Linked DNA regions of Anolis sagrei. The protein of the gene in region 1 binds, or shares a complex with, the protein of each later gene. Links are inferred from orthologs where the notes say so. Each region holds a gene or a part of one and is shown on either strand. Other genes may lie near its edges.

Region 1 (10,599 bases):
ATCTGTGTTTCTTCTGGCCATTTCTTAATGTCACATAGCATCATATTTGGAGCCAAATCAGGGAATGCCTGAATAGTTGTTCCCAATAGTTAGTTGTTTTTTATTGTTAGCAGAGAAAGAGAGAAGATCAACATTGTTTAGTTTATAGCCGTGGTTCCCAACCTGTGGGCCTCGAGACCTAAAATAAGGTCTATGACTCTAGATTATTATAGTTTTCTGTAGGCAAGCAGATTGTGACTACTGGATGGTGTATGTTCTGTATCAGAAACTAGAGCTGTTGTGGTCTATCCAATGCAATTTTCTGAATCAGCACCCCAAATAACCAAACTGAATCTAAAGTTGACCAAAAACTGATTCATAACCCTTTTGGTACTAATATTGGAGAATGTTCATTGGTCAAAGCGGTCCCTGGTCAAGTGGTCCATGATCAGGCATGTAGCCGGGGGGGGGGGGGGCTTGGCGGCTTGAGCCCCCCCCCCCCGAAATTCTCATGGTGGTCCGCGAGAAGGCCTTACTAGTACATTATTTAAACTGTTATGTTTATTCATATCATGATCTGATCACCATGCTCAATATATCCCATATGCATGGGGGTATTGGGGTAACGATACAAAAGGTTTGCTAGAGCAGACCCTCTATCACTCAGACTCAGCCCCCCCCCAACCAAACTCAGCCCCCCCCCCCCCCCGAAACAAAATCCTGGCTACAGGCCTGTCCCTTGTCAAAAAAAGATTGGAAAGCACTGGTTTATGGTCATAGCATTAGTTATGTGCCAAAACTGGATAAGAATTGATTTCTAAGTGTCTCTTTTTAACAAAAGATTATTTGAGTGTCCTCAAATGAAAATTTAGTCAATAACCACACATTAACTAAACGTTTAGTTTGAATCTTGTGCTAAAACACAAAAATAATTATTGTCTGGGGACATTTATTTAATGTATGAAATGTGATTGTTCCGTTGCTTAGGAAACAGTTTTAAAAATGCTTCACCATGAGTGCCCTTGAAATACAAAGGAATAATGCTCATCCTTCCAGATGCCAAGGGGCACAGCTGTGTTACTAGTCCCTGGCTCATTGGGAGGAAAGTTACCAATACCTGATATTAAAGCACTAGTCTAGACATTTTGCTGCCTGCAGATGTTAGATACCAACTCCTGACGGCCCTAGCTAGCCTTCCTCATCAGATGATGGGGACCATGGTCCAAGAATACTTGGAAGACCACCCATTTGCTACGCCTAATGGATATTTTCCTGGTAGCAAACAAATATGAATAAGGATCCTTATGGATAGAAAAATATGTAAGCAAATATAAGTTCATTGTATAAGATAACCATTATCAAAATTGTTGTTGAAAAATTTATCTCCCCTCCAAAAAATAATGAATTAAACATAATTTCTATTATATATATATATATTTAAAATTAATACAAGTTCAGCAGTTGTGAAAGCCCTATGGTTCCATCTTTTGAAAGGGTTCATTTCTGCAACCAGCTGGAGCCTGGACATTCCTGGAGGGATTAAATCAGTGGTTCTCAATCTGTGAGTCCACATGTGTTTTGGCCTACAACTCCCAGAAATCCCAGCCAGTATAACAGCTAGGTTGCTGCGAGTTTTCCAGGCTATATGGCCATGTTCCAGAAGCATTCTCTCCTGACGTTTTTGTTTGTTTAATAATGTAATACAACTGTTTGGTTTGCTCCTGATACGATAAATAAATACCCTCTATAGCAAGCATCCTTTGAGGACAAAACATTAGAGCAGACTGCTTCTGGAACATGGCCATACAGCCAGAAAACTCACAGCAACCTAGTGATTGCGGCCATGAAAGACTTCGACAACACAGTTTACCAGCTGTTAGGATTTCTGGGAGTTGAAGGCCAAAACATCTGCAGACCCGCAAGTTGAGAACCACTGGATTATATCAATCATATTCTAACAAGCCCAAAAGCCCTGGGGACCCAGTGTGGTCTGGTTAGGTATTTTGCATGCTGTTTATTGTTTGATTTGGGGTTTTATGAATGGTGCTGTTAGAAATAGATATGGCTCTCTGGATGTGGGATACAAGAGGATCTTGGGATGTGGACAGAGCACAGCTGCCATCATCCTGGGCCAATCCCCACCAACATATGGTCATGATGGTAACCCTTCTCTCGGTCCCACCTCCAGTAGCTCCACTGGCTGCCAGTCTGTTACGGGGCATACTTCAAAGCACTTGACGGTTCAAGTTCAGGTTATTTGGTTGATCACATCCCTTTGTATGAACCTGCCCAGGCCCTGAGATCCCCAGGAGAGGCCTTTCTCTTACTTCCACCTCTATCTCAAGCTCAGTTGATAGAAATGAAGAGCAGGTCTTCCTTCTCAGTGGTTGTCCATCAACTCTGGAACCCCCTTCTTCCCAAGGAAGGCAGAATGGCCCTCTTCCTGCTTTTATATGTTTTTATGGATTTAATTTGAAATTTTAAAAATACTAATGATGTTTAAGGTAAAGCTAAAGGTTTTCCCCTGACATTAAGTCTGGTCGTGTCTGACTCTGGAAGTTGGTGCTCATCTCCATTTCTAAGCCAAATAGCCAGCGTTGTCCATAGCCACCTCCAAGGTCATGTGGCTAGCATGACTGCATGAAGCGTTGTTACCTTCCCACCTATTGATCTACTCACATTTGCATGCACAGCAGGAGCTCACGCCGCTCCCCGTATTTGAACCTGTGACCTTTTGATCAGCAAGTTCAGCAGCTCAGCGGCTTAACTCACTGTGCCACCTATTGATGTTTAATGCTGTTCTAATATTTGTATATTGGTATAGTTATGACAATGTCTAACGTTTGGTTCTGTTTTTATTATTATTACCAGCTTGGGGACCTGGCGGTGCCCAGGTTATTTGAGAACGGCATTGTTTGCCTGTGCTCCAAGTGTAGTTTAGGTCCAATGTTGGCTGGGTTCAGTGGTTGCAGGTGAACTACAGCTTCCATATGGAAGTTCCATTGACCATGGCCCATCCTCCTCCAAACTGCACCAGGATGCAGAATGGGTCACGGGGGCTCTGGTCTTGAACAGTTATTGGTATGTGGCACTGTGATCTGAGGAAGCGAGTGAAGGTACTGGAAGTCCCATCATCCATGGTCTGTCAGCCCAGAACCCGCACCAGGACATAGAGTGGGTCATGGAGGCTCTATGTGCCAAGTTTGCTCTTTATCAGTCATTGGTGTGGGTCTCAGTGTTCTCAGGAAGTGGGTGAAGGTACCGCAAGTCCCATCATCGATGGCCCATCATCTAACAAACCATGCCAGGAAGTAGAGTGGGTCATGGGGGCTCTATGTGCCAAGTTTGCTCTTGATCAGTCATTGGTGTGGGTAGGAATGGTCTCAAGAAGTGAATGAAGATACTGTAGTTCCCATCTTGTAAACTGTAACCTGCCCTGATCCCTCACTGAGAGACAGGGCGAGACAGAAATAAAGTTTTATAAATATTTTCAATTGTATGCTGATGTTTTTATGTTAACTGCTTTGCATCTCCTGCGGCAGAGATAAGGTGATGTATAAATAATAATTAATGGGTCTGTGTGTACCACATGTGGTTGAGATCCATCATTGGTGGGTTTCACAGTGGTCTCTGGATGTGGGTGGAGTGCAACCCCCATCAGGAAAAGGTAAAGGTTTCCTCTTGACATTAAGTCTAGTCATGTCTGACTCTGGGGGTGTGGGGCTCATCAAGAGCCAGCATTGTCCATAGGCACCTCCTAGATCATGTGGCCGGCATGACTACATGGAGCGCCTTTACCTTCTTGCCCAGGTGGTACCTATTTATCTATGCACATTTGTATGTTTTTGAACTGCTAGGTTGGCAGAAGCTGGGGCTAACAATGGGAGCTCACCCTGCTTCCCAGATTTGAACCACCAATCTTTCATAGAATCATAGAATCAAAGAGTTGGAAGAGACCTCATGGGCCATCCAGTCCAATCCCATTCTGCCAAGAAGCAGGAATATTGCATTCAAATCACCCCTGACAGATGGCCATCCAGCCTCTGTTTAAAAGCTTCCAAAGAAGGAGCCTCCACCACACTCCGGGGCAGAGAGTTCCACTGCTGAACGGCTCTCACAGTCAGGAAGTTCTTCCTCATGTTCAGATGGAATCTCCTTTCTTGTAGTTTGAAGCCATTGTTCTGCGGCCTAGTCTCCAAGGAAGCAGAAAACAAGCTTGCTCCCTCCTCCCTGTGGCTTCCTCTCACATATTTATACATGGCTATCATGTTTCCTCTCAGCCTTGTCTTCTTCAGGCTAAACATGCCCAGCTCGTTAAGCCGCTCCTCATAGGGCTTGTTCTCCAGACCTTTTATCATTTTAGTCACTCTCCTCTGGACACATTCCAGCTTGTCAATATCTCTCTTGAATTGTGGTACCCAGAACTGGACACAATATTCCAGGTGTGGTCTAACCAAAACAGAATAGAGGGGTAGCATTACTTCCCTGGATCTAGACACTATGCTCCTATTGATGCAGGCCAAAATCCCATTGGCTTTTTTTGCTGCTACATCACATTGTTGGCTCATGTTTAACTTGTTGTCCACGAGGACTCCAAGATCTTTTTCACACGTACTGCTCTCGAGCCAGGCGTCACCCATTCTGTATCTTTGCATTTCGTCTTAGCCTCTAATATCCTTTTGGTCAGCAAGTTCAACAGTTCAGCGGTTTAACCCGCTGTGCCACGGGCAGAACCCCCATTACTTCCCTCCCAAAAACCTCACTATTTTAAGATAGGTGTGATGGGTCTGTGTGTCAAATTTGGTCCAGATCCCTCATTGCTGGTCATGCGACTCTCTGGGTGAGGGAGCCATCCTGAAAATTTTTGTTGTTGTTCATTCGTTCAGTCGCTTATGACTCTTCGTGACCTCATGGACCAGCCCACGCCAGAGCTCCCTGTCGGCCGTCACCACCCCCAGCTCCTTCAAGGTCAAGCCAGTCACTTCAAGGATGCCATCCATCCATCTTGCCCATCATCCAACTTCCTTTTTCCTTCCATTTCCCCCAAGCATTGTTGTCTTCTCTAAGCTTTCCTGTCTTCTCATGATGTGGCCAAAATACTTCATCTTGGCCTCTAATATCCTTCCCTCCTGAAAAATACACGCATACATATTTTGACTTCTATTTATGCAGCTATGCAATCACAGGTGCCTCCATCAGTCCTGCCCTGGCCTTTCTTCTCCCTGGCCTCCCCGTAGGCGGGGCCTCTCGAACAAGCCACGCCCACCGAGGAGGTGTGAGCGCGCAGCCAGAGACGCGTTTGGGACGGAGGCGGAGGTTTGGACGCTGTCGGCCCCCGTAAGCCGCGAGTGTGCTGTCGATTCCTGCTCGGGTAGCTGCCGTTGTGGAGAGCAAGAGGGCCGCCATGAGCGAGAAGGGGGAGCTGGACCTGACCGGGGCCAAGCAGAACACGGGCATGTGGCTCGTCAAGGTGAGCGGGAGGGAGGAAGGGAGGGAGGGAGAGAAGAGGCCTCCTCTTTCCGGGAAATGGCGGACAAAAGTTGCCAAACAGGGCGCAGTGTGGAGAAAGTGGCCTCCAAGGCTGCCCACCCCCTCCCCGCCCCTCACTCGTTGTATGAATGCATGGCGGTGCCTGAGGGAGAGAGAGAGAGAGGGTGAGTGAGGTGGTGACAGCCAAGACTTCAGGGGGCTCAGTCCCAGTCATGAAGCAGGAATGATCTGCAATGGAGCCCTTGAGTGCTTAGAGAAGGAGGACACCAAGAAGTGCGCTCTTGGAAGGCCAGACTGTCAAGGGAGAGGGGCTGCATTGTTCCTCTTCCTCCCTTGTACCCAGGGCCACATCAGCCTCGTGGTTGCCTTCAAGGGGCCCTTAAGTCTGTGGAGACAGAGGGCCAACTATATTTTTTTAACATAGTGAGCTTTATCACTGGGTTGTTGTAGGGTTTTTGGGCTATATGGCCATTTGATAGAAGCATTCTCTCCTGACGTTTCGCCTGCATCTATAGACAGCATCCTCAGAGGTTGTGAGGCCATAGGTCAGTGGTTCTCAACCTTCCTGATGCCGCAACCCCTTAATACAGTACCTCATGTTGTGGTGACCCCCAACAATGAAATCATTTTCGTTGCTAATTCATAACTGGAATTTTGTTACTGTTATGAATGGTTTTAGTTGCTGGGATTTATAGTTCACTTCCAATCAAAGAGCATTCTGAACTCCACCAACAATGGAATCGAACCAAACTTGGCACCCAGAACTCCCATGACCAACAGAAAATACTGGAAAGGGTTGGTAGGCATTGGCATTGAGTTTGGGAGTTGTAGTTCACCTACATCCAGAGAGCACTGCGGACTCAAACAGTGACAGATCTGGACCAAACTTGGCACGAATACTCAATATGCCCAATATGTGAACACTGGTAGAGTTTGGGGGAAATAGATCTTGATATTTGGGAGTTGTAATTGCAGAGATTTATAGTTCACTTACCATCAAGGAGCACTCTGAACCCACCCCACAATTTATCTGCTCCAAACTTGGCACACTACCTACATGGCCAATATTGAATACTGGTGGGGTTGGGGCAAGCTGTTTTTGAATTCTGGGAGTTGTAGTTCACCAACACCAAAAAAGGAAAAGAAGGATAGGCAGACATATGTTCAGCCTTTTCTCCAAGAGGGTTACTAAGACCATCAGAAATATGTTTTCAGATGGACTTTGGTGACCCCCCCTCTCTGAAACCGTCTCGTGACCCCCCCAAGAGTTCCAACCCCCACGTTGAGAAGCACTGCCATAGATGCAGGTGAAACGTCAGGAGAGAATGCTTCTAGAACATAGCCATATGGCCCGAAAAACCTACAACAACCTATAGTGAGCTTGAGTTTGTTGCCCAGTTCAGGTCCCCAGATGTCATTAAACGACAGCTCTCACCACTTTGAATTATCCACCATGTGAACTGGGGATGATGGGAATTGAACCCAACAGCACTTGCAGCTCTGGGGATAGGGAAACGTGAAAAGACATTTTAAAGCCAGGCATCCTGTTCACAAGCCGTGTATCTCAATTCAAGCCCCACTCTCCTGACCTATCCTAAAGTCACTCCACTTTTTGCCAATTAATTTCCCAGCAAAGTACAAGGTGGTGGTTTTGATCTTTAAAACCCCACATAGTTTGGGTCCACGTCACCTAAAGGATCACCTTCTCCTGTACAATCCATCTTGTACACTTTGGCTTTGACTACTGCAACACGCTGGGGTTGCCTATGAAGACTGTTCGGAAGCTTCAATTGGTCCAACAGGTGGCAGCCAGATTACTCACTGGAGCGGGGTACAGGGAACATACAACCCCCCTGCTGCGTCAGCTCCACTGGCTGCCAGTTTCCTACCAAGCACAGTACAAAGTGCTAGCTTTAGCCTATAAGAAGCAACAAGATCCTGAGCTGCGCTAATGGGGATTCTCAATCTGAGGAAATCTAAGGTGATCCTCCCCCCCAATCCCCCCCTCTGACCCAGCCAGGGAGCCCGGGGCAATCAGGGGTTCCGAAAGAGGCCCGAAAAAGGTCCGGGGGTCAGATTAACCCTAAAGAAGAGAACGGAGGAGGAGGAGGAGGAGGAGCGAGGTAGAGCGCTGCCATTACAATGCAGCCGCCTCCCTCAAGCCTTTAAGATCTAACCGTGGCGGTTCCTCGCGACACCATCACCGCTGCTGCCACCACCTATCACCTTACTACAGCCCGTTGCGGAGTCACCTCCAGGCTATTGAGGGTAGACTGCAGCGGGCCCGCCATCCCAGGCACGGCCCGGGAGTGGCCTATCATCCCAGGCACGGCCGACGTCGCCGCCGACGCCGCCAGCGGTATTAACACCCAGCGCTCCTTCGGGCCTGCTAGGCCCCGCAGCCACGAGCCCCTCCCTCCCGCCGGTCCGGGGGAGGGAGAGAAGGAAGAAGGCCCTCGAGCACTCCGTCGGGCCCATTAGGCCCCGCCGCCGCGAGCCCCTCCCTCCCGCCGGTCCAGGGGAGGGGAGAAGGAAGAAGACTCTCCAGCGCTCCTTCGGGCCTGCTAGGCCCCACCGCCGCGCACTCCTCCCTCCCCGCTGAGAACGCGCTGCTCGGATCCCTCCGTGCTTCCATCTGGTGGTGGCCGGAGTGCAGGAGCTGTGTTGGCTCGGCGCTGCCATTGTATTGCATCGGCTCGGCCCCCATCACCAATAGCAGCGGCCCTCTGCTGGCTGAGTTGTGCCACCAACAGTGGAATTCCATCATTGACTGCTTCCTTGCCATCCGGATCTCATCGTCAACGCGGGACATTTTCCATCGCGCCACTAGCGTCCGGAATAAACATCGCCACTCCTCCATTAGTGGGGGCCCAAGCAACAACCGGAAGGCCTAGAAGCTCAGTGTTCTGCTGCTGCCATCCAGAACTCATAGCAACAGAAATCCTGTTACCTCCTGCAACATCGCCCCCTTTGGCTGGAGGTGCAATTGATATCACTCCACACAGCTGCTAGAAACTGTCTCCTTGGAGTCACTGCCTGCAATATATAAGACCAACCCCCATTAAGCTTCATCAGCTTTCCACTGGGACAGTCAAGAAGAACTAGGGGCCAGGCCAAGGGGTGCCGGCTTGCTGTCCACGGGCCCTAGAAGCTGGGCCCTATGGTTCTAACTGCCCATCCTAGTTGAATGACATCGGGTTTCTTCTGTGGGCACTGACTTTGAGTTATTGAACTATTGAGCACTTTAGTCCATCACTGAGACTCTATGGTACTATTAGAATCTGAGCCATAGAAAACCACCTAGCACTTTAATTTCTAGCACTTTAATCCTGCACTTTAGAACGCCTGGGTCATTATAAGCTATCAACTGGTCCCAAACCAATAAGCTGCTGTGAGGTGTGGCACTATAGCACTTTAGACAGCCCTGTACCCTAGGCAGACCCTAGCTCTACATTACGAACTACCAGCAATTGACTGATGCCACCACCTTTGTCAATTTTGTTATTACTGACAGCCTTCTCTGCCAGTGTTACTCAAATGCACTTTATGTTCTCCAATACATGGGAAGGAGTAGGAAGCAGGGGGGTGGAGGACCCTAGGGGTTCAGAGTTATACAACTACAACAATGTCTGCTATTATTATGCATCAACACCTGATACTTCAAATGAGGAGCTTGGAGGAATTTCCCCCGGGGTAGGTGGCTCTGCGGGTGAAGGGGCTGCTATAGAGGTGGTGACAGGTAGAGGGAGATACGGGAAAGGGAGAACAAATTACTCAATCCGACCCAAAATTTCTAACAATAATTTGGCGAATTCAAAACATTTTAAGGATGCAAGACAAAAACAAACCTGGCCCAAAAAGTACAATAGAACATTGGCAATCCCAAAGATTACTTATACTACAACTTTACAAACGATTCGGCCCGAAAACAGTAGGAATATATTGGCAACTCCAAAAAACCCTCCTGACAAGATACAGCTGAGATGACAGGATGGTGGTCCCTCTGGGTTAAGGGTGGTGCTGTTCAATGCCAGGTCGGTAAATGGAAAAACCTCCACCATTCGAGATCTAATTCAGGAGGAACAAGCCGACCTGGCATGTATAACAGAGACCTGGCTGGACGAGGGGGGAGGGGTGAACCTCTCCCAACTATGCCCGCCAGGGTACTCTGTCCAGCACCAGCCGAGACCCGGAGGGCGGGGAGGAGGAGTGGCAGTCGTCTATAAGGTTTGCATTCCCCTGATCAGGTGCCCCATCCCACAATCATCGTCATTTGAGTGTGCCGGCTTTAGGTTAGGTGACCGGGACAGGATAGGGATTCTGTTAGTGTACCGACCACCCCGCTGCACGACAGTCTCCCTACCTGAGCTAGCAGGAGTGGTCTCGGACATGGCGTTGAGCTCCCAGCGGCTTTTAGTCCTGGGGGATTTCAATATCCATGCCGAGACCGCTCTTTCAGGTGCAGCTCAGGACTTTATGGCCGCCATGACAACCATGGGCCTGTCCCAACTAGTATCTGGTCCCACCCATACTGCCGGACACACATTGGATTTGGTCTTTTCTCAGGGATGGGGTGACAGTGTCGGGGTGGAGGAGCTGACCATCGCTCCATTGTCATGGACCGATCACCACCTGATTAGGTTTAGACTGACTGTACCTTCTAACCTCCGCAGGGGTGGTGGACCCATTAGAATGGTCCGCCCCAGGAGACTCATGGATCCAAATGGCTTCCTGACGGCTCTTGGGGAATTTCCCACCTCCCTGGCTGGCGACTCGGTCGATGCCTTGGTCTCTCATTGGAACACCGAGATGACTAGGGCAATTGACACAATTGCTCCGGAACGCCCCCTCTCGAGTAACCGAGCCAATCCAGCCTCTTGGTTTACTGAGGAGCTGGCGGCAATGAAGCGAAAGAAGAGGTGGCTAGAGCGCGTGTGGCGGAAGAATCCGACTAAATCAGCCCAAACACATCTGAATGCCTTTCTAAGGTCCTACGGTGTGGCAATAGAGGCAGCACAAAAAACATCCTTTGCCGCCAATATTGCATCTGCGAAGAATCGTCCAGCTGAGCTCTTCCGAGTTGTCAGGGGTTTGTTAAATCCGCCAAAAAGCGAGATCCCTGACAGCTCG
Region 2 (10,852 bases), on another chromosome or scaffold:
AGACACCAGAGAGATGGATAGGCACATTTCTGATAAGTGTATGGGGAAAATGCTTATGCTTCATGGAACATAAGTTGTAAAATGATTAGTTTCTTAAGGATTGTCTTATTGTTTCACATGTCATTTTTCATTGCTGGTATCTAGACTAAGTTAATAGCTTTGATGAGAGGCAACAAATGGGAGTTTGGTGTACAGATCCTTCAAAACAGGACTGTACTTTCCTTGAAGAAGCAGATGCAAATATTTTGGGAAGCATTTGGATCTAGTCTTGCCACTAGTAACAAAAGGGAAGCAAACTCTACTTTAGTTGGCCAGGCTGATTTTATGAGAAACATGCCTAAAAGGTGGCCTGCAGAATTTGTCTCCTAATGGGTACAACAATGTAGGATTTCTAAGAGCTCTGAACTTGTTACCTATTAGCTACAGTGCACTGGTATTAAATGCTCCAAATGGCTTGGAACGAAAATACCCAAAGAAACACTGCTTCTTCTACCAGCCCATCTCTTGAAAAAAAAAATAGCCTTTTCTGCAGGGCATCCCATTTATGAAATACCTTTCCTAAACTGCTTTAAACAAAATACCAACATTTTGGATTTGTTTCATCATCATATCAAAACTTACTGGCTCTTCTACTTCGCCTGTAGCATGTTGAGCTTCTGCTTGCAGATCAATGGGTGGGGCATCTTCGACAATTCTCTGCACAGACATCTGAATGAACTCATCAAATGAATCAAGCTGCTGACGGACCAGGCCCTTTTCATCAAAGTAAGAGCTTTGCAAAACAAGTTAAAATCAATGAGAATTACTACTGCAGAATAACAGCGCATTCCAAAATAGCTTCTTCAAATATCCTCCCTAGACCTCCTTGATTAATATAAAAATGTTAGTGAACTACACAAGAGTTCCAAAGCAGAAATACATCGTTTCATTTTTTGATTCATGTGAATATTGTAACATCCCTAACTTCAGAAGAATAATTTCCTCCAGTATTAGACTTGAAACATACTAGTATGTTCAAGTTGCATGATGTATTGTTTTCTGTGGAAGACATTATGGGTAGGTTCTTCAATTCAATGGAATTCAACAAAGTTTAAAAAGGGTTTATTTTAGAGTGAATCTGAATTCTTTCATATTCTTTATATGAACACTTACCTGATGACAATCCAGCATGCTTCTTGCCACAAATCTGGGGTGATTTCATCATCATCTTCATCATATTGCATATCTGCCAAGAAAAGGCAAAGTCCAACACTTCCATAGTCGTTTTTTTAAAACCTTTCGATGCAAATATTTTCACAAAATACATGGGGATAATATATTTCACTTTTATTTCTAAAATTGCAAACATTATTTCCTTTGATCTCAGCAGAGGCCTTCACGGGAAGAACTGTTTTAAAGCTAAAGACAATGCAGTCGCTGTTGCCTGTTTTTGGTCTAAAGCAGTGGTTCTCAACCTGTGGGTCCCCAGATGTTTTGGCCTTCAATTCCCAGAAATCCTAACAGCTAGTAAACTGGCTGGGATTTCTGGGAGTCTAAAACTATTTAGCTGCTTATGATCCCTTTATTTTATCAGTTTAAACTTGTTTACTTATGCAATGCTTCTGAAACTAAATAAAGCAGAGGCCTTGCCCAGGTCTACTATTCAAGAATCTTACAAAGAATAGAGATTCGATTCCCTCTGTGCAAACTACTAAAACATGATCTGAATTCATATTTATATCAAGGCATTTCATATATCTAATTATAATACTTTTCCAAGAATTAAGAATACAGCACTAGGCATTTTTATGAGTATATCACAGTAAAGTAAGGAAAGTTGGTTACAACTGAAAATGCTCATAATTGCTCTATAAGACATCACTGTCTAAAGCAGATCAACAACTTGCAAGAAAATCAAACTCCCTACTTCAGCTGTACTGTGTACTGGTTGAAAAGGTGGCCACAACTCCATGCAGTGCAGGGTACTCATAGTTTACACTGGATTATCATGTTAATATAAATGTTAAAGGTTCCATCCCCAGTCCTTATTCTGCAGGACTGGGTTCAGCACCTTGGACACTTCCTAGAAAGTTTAAATTGAAACTGGGAGTGATTTGCTGCCCAACTGATATGGTGAGAGCAAGCTGTTCCCACTATGGAAAGATGAAACATTTGTTAGAGGAGAGATGTTGCTCAATTGCTCTGCTTATCCAGGCTGAGTCTCATGTGTGGAATACCCTGTCTAAGAGGTGTCCTTGAATTGTGTACAGAGCAGCTGGTGAATTCCTTAAACTTGTCCTTCCCATGACACCAGGCAGTTTAGAAGCACTTGGCCCTTTGACAAGTCTGGTTGACCATTTTATTAAATTGTAAAGCATCAAGCAAACACCTTTTCACCACTTCCAGTGAATGAGCCCTTCCTCAAAGGTCACTGTTGCCACTGAGTGGAGATCCGAATTGTAAATGTACTGTAACCAGAAAAGGCTTTCAGGGTGCTTCCTCCATTGCTTTTAATTTACTTTATTACATGCCATGCTGTGAACTTTACTTGGTACTGTTCCATTATCTGGGTGGAGGCCACTAGGGACTGCTAGAGAAAGATACTTCATTTTATTGGGGTGGAAGGTGGGTTGAAGGAGCAAAACCATTTTCCCCTGTTTTCCTGTTATTCTCCCCACTCATGTCTCTGTCATGGAAACAACCCTTGTCTATGATAAGGGAAGTGGGGAGGGGGAATAACCAGTGAAAATGGGGGAAGTGGTTTTCCTCCTTCAACTCCCCCCCCCACTAAAATGAAGTATCCTCCCTTCCCAATCCTCCCTCCACCTGGATAAAGAAACATAATTACTTTAAGCGATTAATTAAAACCATAAATTATGGTGCGAATCTTGCCTTGCTTCAGTAATTAGAAACTTCAACTTGGCCAGGCTATGCCACCATTAACACGTAGCTGATATAATCCTTAAAGGTGTTCAGAGTTTTCCAAGGTTTTAAATAATAATAAAAAGAAAAAAACTTTATTTGTATCCTGCCCCATCTTCCTAGAAGGACTCAGGGTGGCTTACAAGGTAGTGACAATGCAAACAAAAACATCAAATATATAGCAATAACCCAAATAACCTAAATCAATAAAGTAAACACCAATGAAAAATAAATATGCTTGAAAAATGTTTTGCAAGCATTGTATTGCAGACCTTTCTTCTGTTGCAGATTGGGGGTGGGGGGAGGGAAGGAATGAGTAATTTGGCTAAGGCCACTCAGAATATCTATAGCCCCTTCCACACAGGCTGTATAAAATCCACATTGAACTGTATTATATGGCAGTGCAAACTCAGATAATCCAGTTCAAAGCAGATATTGTGTATTATCTGCTTTGATATTCTGGGTTATAAAGCTGTCTGGAAGAGCCCTATATCTATTTATCTATCTATTTATCAGTATATATGTACGTTGGTTGCTTGGCACCACAAATAATTGAGGGGTTTGAGCCTTTTGGGACTAAAGCTGAGAGAAAGAAAATGATCAAAATGGATTGGCCATTGGTGAGTTGAAGTGACCTCTGTGATGTGACTGGGAAAGAAAAGGAATGATGCTGCTACTAGGACCCCTTCCACACAGCTGTATAAAATCCACACTGGGCTGTATTATATGGCAGTGTGGACTCAGATAATCCAGTTCAAAGCAAATATGGTCATCTGCCTTGAGATTCTGGGTTATATGGCTGTGTGGAAGGGCCTAGGTGACATGTGTATGAGGGGAACGGCGGGAGGAAGGAAACAGATAAAGAAGAAAAAGAAAGGAAAGAAGACAATGGAATGTGGGGGGAAATATATGGGGGGAGAAAGAAGGGAAGTGAAAAGAAAGAAGGACAAAGGAAGGAAAGGATAAAAGAAGAGAAAGGTAAGACTGAGAGAGAGAGAAGTGGAGGAGTGGAGGAAAGGAAAGGATTAAAGGAAAAGAAGGAAGAGAAAGGAAAGAGAGAATGAAAGAGAAGTGGGGGAAGTGAAAGAGGAAAAGGATCGGAAAAAGGAAAGAAAGGTAGAAAAGAGAGAGGGACAAGGTGTATGAGAGAAATGGAGGAAGGAGTCACAATTAGGATGTTTGGCCTCTTGGACCTTACGTGCGTCATCTCACCCTAAGGAAACAATTCCTGCCTTCTTTTAGAGGGCAGGAGTTCTGTGGCCATTGCTGAGCTGCTACCAGGGACACCTTCCAGGGGTATCGCTACCCTTCAGCCGCCCCAACGAGGAAGACGTAGCGCCTCAGGAGAGCCTCCCCTGCCTTCCCCTCGCCCTCCGGCTTCCCTCTGCAGGGCCTCACCTTCGTCCGCGTCGTACATCTTGGCGGCGGCAAGTCAAACTCTCAGGAGCAGAAAACACAGGCGGAGAACGTCGCTCGAGCGAAAGCACCAGCTTATGGTCGCATTTCCCAGGCACTTCCGTCCCGCTTACAAACGTCACTTCCGTTCACTCCAGAGAGAGCCTTGGAGGCCCTTCGCGCACGCGCTTTCTTTGAACGAGCTTGAGCCTTGGCGCCTGCGCAATTCGATTGTGCGCACGACAGGGTGATGCCAAAGAAAGCTATAGACTAGACAAGCTTGTCCATGCCTGCTATAGACAATAATGGAGTCTATCCAGTGTTTTCCACATCTTAGTCTTCCAGATGTTTTGAATTTCATTTCCCAAAATTTATCACTGTTGAACAATCTGCTGGAGGCTGCTGGGAGTTGAAGTACAAAACAGCTGAAAAAGCTAGGCTTGAAAATCACTGGTTTTGCATAAAGAAAGCCCACATGGCGAAACTATTTGGGTGCTGTACTATGACAAGTGGGGTTTATATATCTGTGAAATGGCCAGCTTAATTAGCATTGAATAGCCTTGCAGCTTCAAAGGCTGGTTGCTTCCTACCTGGGGGGAATCCTTTGTTGGGAGGAGTTAACTGGCCCTGATTGTTTCCTGTCTGGAATTCCTCTGTTTCCTAAGTGTAGTTCTTTATTTACTGTCCTGATTTTAGAATTTTTTAATACTGGTAGCCAGATTTTGCTTTTTTCCATAGTTTCCTCCTTTCTGTTGAATTGTGGGAAATTGAATTGTTAGGAATTGTGGGAATTGAAGTGCAGAACACCTGGAGTGCCACAGTTTGCCCTTGCCTTTGAAGGCTATTGCCTTGACGGCTTTTTATTTAGTTTCAAGGGCGTCTTGAGAAACTGCAAGTTGCTTCTGATGTGAGAGAAATGGCTTTCTGCAAGGACATTGCCCAGGGGATGCCTGGATGTTTGATCTTTTACCATCCTTGTGGGAGGCTTCCCTCATGGGGAGCTGGAGTTGACAGAAGGACCTGCTCAACCTGGAATTGAACTGCTGACCTATTGGTCAGCTGTCCTGCTGGCACAAGGGTTTAACTCAATGTGCCAGCAGGACTCCAGCCGAATTCTGCACGAGCTTAGGAGTCCCCTAAAGGCCTGGCCTGCGGTGCAAGGAAGAGGCCACAAGTTGGATTCTTTCTACAAAGGCTTTTATTGCAGGCCAAAGCAACAGGCGACAGCAGGTCATTTTGTGCCCATTGCACAAAACGTTTGTTGCAACTTGAAATGGGGTTGCAATTTTTTTTATCACTTTCACAGAAAATTGAAAGCATTGTCTCATTGGTGTACAAAAATCAATCATTCCATTGGTCCAAGCTGACTAACCGATTTTCATTGGCTCTCCATGACTCTAACAATCAAGAAGGCAAACAGTCACAGTGGCTAACAATCGCACAATTATGCTTTCATATTTCTGGCCCTGAATGTCTCAGTGGTCCAATCTTATGTGCTTTTCTGTTTCAAGCATGGACTTCAAGCGGCTGGGAAATTAGGGGGTACTAGCTAACCTGTTTTGTCCTGATGAACTTTTATTTGAGAGGTAACTTCCTCTCTGTGACAGCATTTTCCCCAACTGTCAAACAAAGGCCTCTGCAAAATGAGGACATATAGGGCTTTCACTCATTGGCACCCATGAAAATTCTATTAAAAACTATGTCTTCCTCAGCACCACTGGGGGTTCCTTGAGGCCTATTGCCTTGAGGCCTCACTTAGGCGATCCCTCATTGTCCGAGTAGGATTGTCTTCCAAGATCGGTGTACTGGGGGTGGGTCTGTAGGTGACTGTGGAGCCCTATTCTTGATCTGCATCTTCTGCCACAGTGTGGGCATTGGTTTCCAGGTGGAAGGTGGTCCCAGTCGTGGTTGGTTTGACACACCTTCCTCTTGGCATGCTTATCTCTTTCGCCCTCCATTCGTGCCTCCTCAAATTCTACAGCACTGCTGGTCACAGCTGACCTCCAGCTAGAACGCTCAAGGGCCAGGGCTTCCCAGTTCTCAGTATTCCAGAGTTTTTAAGGTTGGCTTTGAGCCCATCTTTAAATCTCTTTTCCTGTCCATCAACATTCCGTTTTCCATTCTTGAGTTCGGAGTAGAGCAACTGCTTTGGGAGACGGTGGTCGGGCATCCGGACAACGTGGCCGGTCCAGCAGAGTTGATGGCAGAGGACCATCGCTTCAATGCTGGTGGTCTTTACTTCTTCCAGCATGCTGACATTTGTCCGCTTGTCTTCCCAAGAGATCTGCAGCTGATGGAATTGTTCTAGGAGTTGCATGTGATGTCTGTAGACAGTCCATGTCTCGCAGGCATATAGCAGGGTTGGGAGGACAATAGCTTTATAAACAAGCATCTTGGTATCCCTACGGATGTCCCGGTCCTCAAACACTCTCTGCTTCATTCGGAAAAAAATGCTTTGAGGCCCATTGCCAAGCCTTGAGGCCCAGCCACATTTCAGAGGAGCCTGAAAGGAGAAGTTATGCAGAGTCCAGGGGCCTCCGATAGGGGGCGGTGTTGCTTCCGGAAGGAACGCTCGCTGGCTGGCTGGCTTGGGCCGCTCTGGCCCTCGGACTCGCTGCCCTTCCCTCAGCTTTCCCTCACGGAGGAGCATGAACGGCCTGAGGCGGGCGCTGCAGCTAGGACGGTTGTGGCCTGGGGCGCTCCCAAGGCCTCGCCGCGGCCTGGCCTCTTTCCCGGGGCTGGGCAAGGGCTGGGCCGCGGCGGAAGGAGAAGAGGAGTTCGTCTTCCCGGAGTACCTCCCCTCAGAGCCGGGCCCGGAGGAGGAGAAGAAGCCTCCCGCGCCGCCGCGAGAAAGAGCAGGCCCGAGGCCGGAAGAGCGGCGCCGGAAGCCGCCTCGGGCGAGCTTCCACCAGGCCTCGGGCCTCCCGGACCCGTCGCTGCCGGCCAGCGGCGTGGGCTGCCCGGGCTGCGGGGCCGAGCTGCACTGCCGCGACCCGGTTCTGCCTGGCTACCTGCCCAGCGAGAAGTACCGGGCCCTGAAAGAGGAGGGGGAAGGCGGCGAGGGCCTGGAGGGGGCGGTGTGCCAACGCTGCTGGCTCCTGGTGCACCACCGGCAGGCGCTGAAGGTGGAGCTGCCCCGGGAGGAGTTCCGCAGCCTGGTCGGCGCCGCCTTGAAGGCCCCCTCGCGCCACAACCGCCCGCCCTTAGTGCTGCTCCTGGCCGACCTCCTCGACCTCCCTGAGTCGCTGCTCTTGCCCGACCTGTCCAGCCTGGTCGGGGACCAAACCCACCTCCTGGTGCTGGGCAACAAAGTGGACCTTCTCCCGGGAGACTCCCACGACTACCTGCGCCGCCTGCGGGGAAGCCTTCGCCAGGCCTGCGCCCAAGCGGGCCTCCCCGCCAAGGAGGAGCCGCACCTGATCAGCGCCAAGACAGGCTTCGGCCTGGAGGACCTCATCAGCCGCCTGCAGCGCTCCTGGAAGTTCAATGGGGATGTCTACCTGGTGGGCGCCACCAACACCGGGAAGTCCACCCTCTTCAACGCCCTCCTGCACTCTGACTACTGCAAGTCCCGGGCCTCCCAGGCCATCCACCGGGCCACCATCTCACCCTGGCCAGGTCAGCGGGGCATCATCTCTCCTGCGAAGGTGGCTTCCATTGGGTTGCTGTGAGTTTTTCGGGCTGTAGGACCATGTTCCAGTCATAATAATACAAGGGATATCCGGAAAGTAATAATAATATAATTATTAAACCTCTGAGGATGCTTGCCATAGATGCATCAAAACGTCAGGAGAGAATGCCTCTAGACCAGGGGTCCTCAAACTAAGGCCCAGGGGCCGGATGCGGCCCTCCAAGCTCATTTACCCGGCCCTTGCTCAGGGTCAACCTAAGTCTGAAATTATTTGAAAGCACAAAACAACAGCAATCCTATCTCATCAGCCTAAAGCAGGCCCACACTTCCCATTGAAATACCAATAAGTTTATATTTGTCAAAATTGTTATTCATTTTAATTATTGTATTGTTTTAAGTGTTTTTTATAAGGTATGTGCAATGTGCATAGGAATTCATGGTTTTTTTTCAAATTATAATCCGGCCCTCCCAACAGTTTGAGGGCTGTGACCTGGTCGTCTGTTTAAAAAGTTTGTGGACCCTTGCTCTAGACCATGGCCATATAGCCTGAAAAAACCTACAACAACCCACTAATTATTTATTTATTTAGAGTTTTTATACCCCGGTCATCTCACCTCCGAGGAGGGACTAAGGCCAGCTAACAACATAAAATTAAAATACACTTCATACAATTCATACAAATTACAGCAAAAATCAGTTCATCCAAAAGAATCACAAATTCATCGCCATCCGCTAGAATGGTCAGCAGTTATTGACTCAGTCATCATTCTGCGAATGCAGTATCCCAAAGCCATGTTTTTACCTGCTTTCTAAATGTCATGAGGGAAGAGGCAGATCTAATATCCATCGGGAAGGAGTTCCAAAGCCGAGGGACCACCACCGAAAAGGCCGTGTCCCTTGTCCCCACCAAACGCGATTGCGAAGGCGGTGGGAGGGAGAGCAGGGCCCCTCCAGAAGATCTTAATAACCTTGATGGTTCATAGGGGAGAATCCGTTCGGACAGGTAAATAGGGCCAGAGCCGTTTAGGGATTTATAGGTCAACACCAGCACTTTGAATTGTGCTCGGAAGCTGGTTGGCAGCCAGTGGAGCTGGTGCAACAGAGGAGTAGTATGCTCCCTGTACCCCGCTCCCGTTAGTAATCTGGCTGCCGCTTGTTGTACTAGTTGTAGCTTCCGGGCAGTTTTCAGAGGCAACCCCACGTAGAGAGCGTTGCAGTAGTCTATACAGGATGTAACCAGAACATGTACCACCGTGGCCAAGTCAGACTTCCCAAGGTACGGGCGCAGCTGCCGCACAAGTTTTAATTGTGCAAATTACAGGGTTAGTCAAAATGCATAGGCCAATAAGCCATTCAATTGAATGGCTTATTGGCCTATGCATTTTGACTAACCCTGTATAATAACTTTATATTTATACCCCACCATGTTAGCCATTTTTATGTTGGAAAACGCCCAGACTCCTCTTGAGGAGATAGGGCAGGTTACAAATAAAGTTGTATTATATTATTGTTGTGAAGGCACACTGGGTTGAAAGGAAAACTATATGTCTGGCTATACCCGGTGGCTATTGGTATACCCTCTGATGTACTTCAGTTCTTTAAAAATAATGACGCTTGAGACAGAATCAAAGTTAACCAAATAAGTTTACTGGAAACAAAAGGCAAAGTTCTTGAAAGTCAGAGTTCTTGAAAGGCGAATCAAGATAAAATATTACAAAGTGAAGTTTGTTGATGGAACTTAGTTACACTGATAAAAAACACTTGACTATATTCATAAAATATGAGGTAAAACACTTGACTATAATTGTGGTAAGTCACTTGGTAAAATACTTGGCTATTGAAAATAAAATACTGGACTAAACTATTGGTAAATTCAGCTATGAAGGTCTATGAGGTATACACAGCTTTGACGGTCTGTGAGGTATATACTAAGCTATGGTGATGGTATAGTACAAGCTATAGTGACTATTTTGTATATATATGTGCTATAGAATGCCTGTTTAGATTGCCAGGCCAAGGAACCCAGACAATTTCTGGCTTTCTCCTCTAAAACTCTGATACAGACTAAAAAGGAGGGAAAAGCCTTTCAGACAAGTTCTGAGGCAAAAGGGCTAAACCAACAGGGCCAGCCTTTAGCAATTGTTGTTGCTGCTGCCTGGGGGCATCTTTTTTTTTTTTTTTTTTTTTGGAGGTATAAACTGGCACTTAATTATTTGCTGCCTGGAATTCCTCTTTTTCTCTTTGTTCTTTATTTACTCTCTTGATTCTGGTACTTTTTAATACTTGTGACCAGATTTTATTCATTTTTATGGTTTCCTCCTTTCCATTGATATTGTCCACATTCTGATGGATTTCAATGGTCTCTCTGTGCAGTTTGACATGATTGTTGTCAGAGTGGTCCAGCATGTATGTGTTCTCAAATAATATTCCATGTCCAGGTTGGTTCATCAAGTGCTTTGCTATAGCTGACTTCTCTGGTTGAATTAGGCCTTTTGTTTTCTTTGATTTGTGCTTGGGCACTGCCATGAAAATGAACAAAATCTGGCAGTATTAAAAAAAAACCACCAGGATCAAGGCAGCAAATAAAAAACACCACTCAGAAATAGGGGAATTCCGGACAGCAAACAATCAAGTGGCAGTAAACACCTCCCAAACAAAGAATCCCCTCATGCAGCAACAGGTAGGCTTTGAAGCTGCAAGACTATTCAGCGCTAATCAAGATGGCTAATTGCAACATTCACACTTGCCTCAAATAGACAGGAGTTCTTTCTCCCACCCTAAACATTCCACAGATATATAAACCCCACCTGCCTAATGGCCCACAGACCTCACAAACTGCTGAGGACGCCTGCCATAGATGTGGGTGAAACATCAGGAAAGAATGCTACTGGAACATGGCCATACAGCCCAAAAAACTCACAGCAA

What was found.
Region 2: GTF2F2 (region 1) and POLR2B share a complex: the UniProt entries of both Homo sapiens proteins name them as parts of the TBP-based Pol II pre-initiation complex. The link is inferred for Anolis sagrei from reciprocal best matches to the Homo sapiens genes GTF2F2 and POLR2B.

The regions. Positions count from the first base shown.
Region 1 is NC_090023.1:144,292,329-144,302,927, reverse strand, and holds the start of GTF2F2 (general transcription factor IIF subunit 2), read left to right. Parts: upstream 1-5,258; 5' UTR 5,259-5,383; coding exon 5,384-5,449; intron 5,450-10,599. UniProt on the Homo sapiens protein: TFIIF is a general transcription initiation factor that binds to RNA polymerase II and helps to recruit it to the initiation complex in collaboration with TFIIB.
Region 2 is NC_090022.1:195,385,186-195,396,037, reverse strand, and holds the start of POLR2B (DNA-directed RNA polymerase II subunit RPB2), read right to left. Parts: upstream 4,445-10,852; 5' UTR 4,319-4,444; coding exon 4,300-4,318; intron 1,226-4,299; coding exon 1,153-1,225; intron 773-1,152; coding exon 622-772; intron 1-621. Other genes in the region: NOA1 (nitric oxide-associated protein 1), read left to right, coding at 6,945-7,914. UniProt on the Homo sapiens protein: Catalytic core component of RNA polymerase II (Pol II), a DNA-dependent RNA polymerase which synthesizes mRNA precursors and many functional non-coding RNAs using the four ribonucleoside triphosphates as substrates.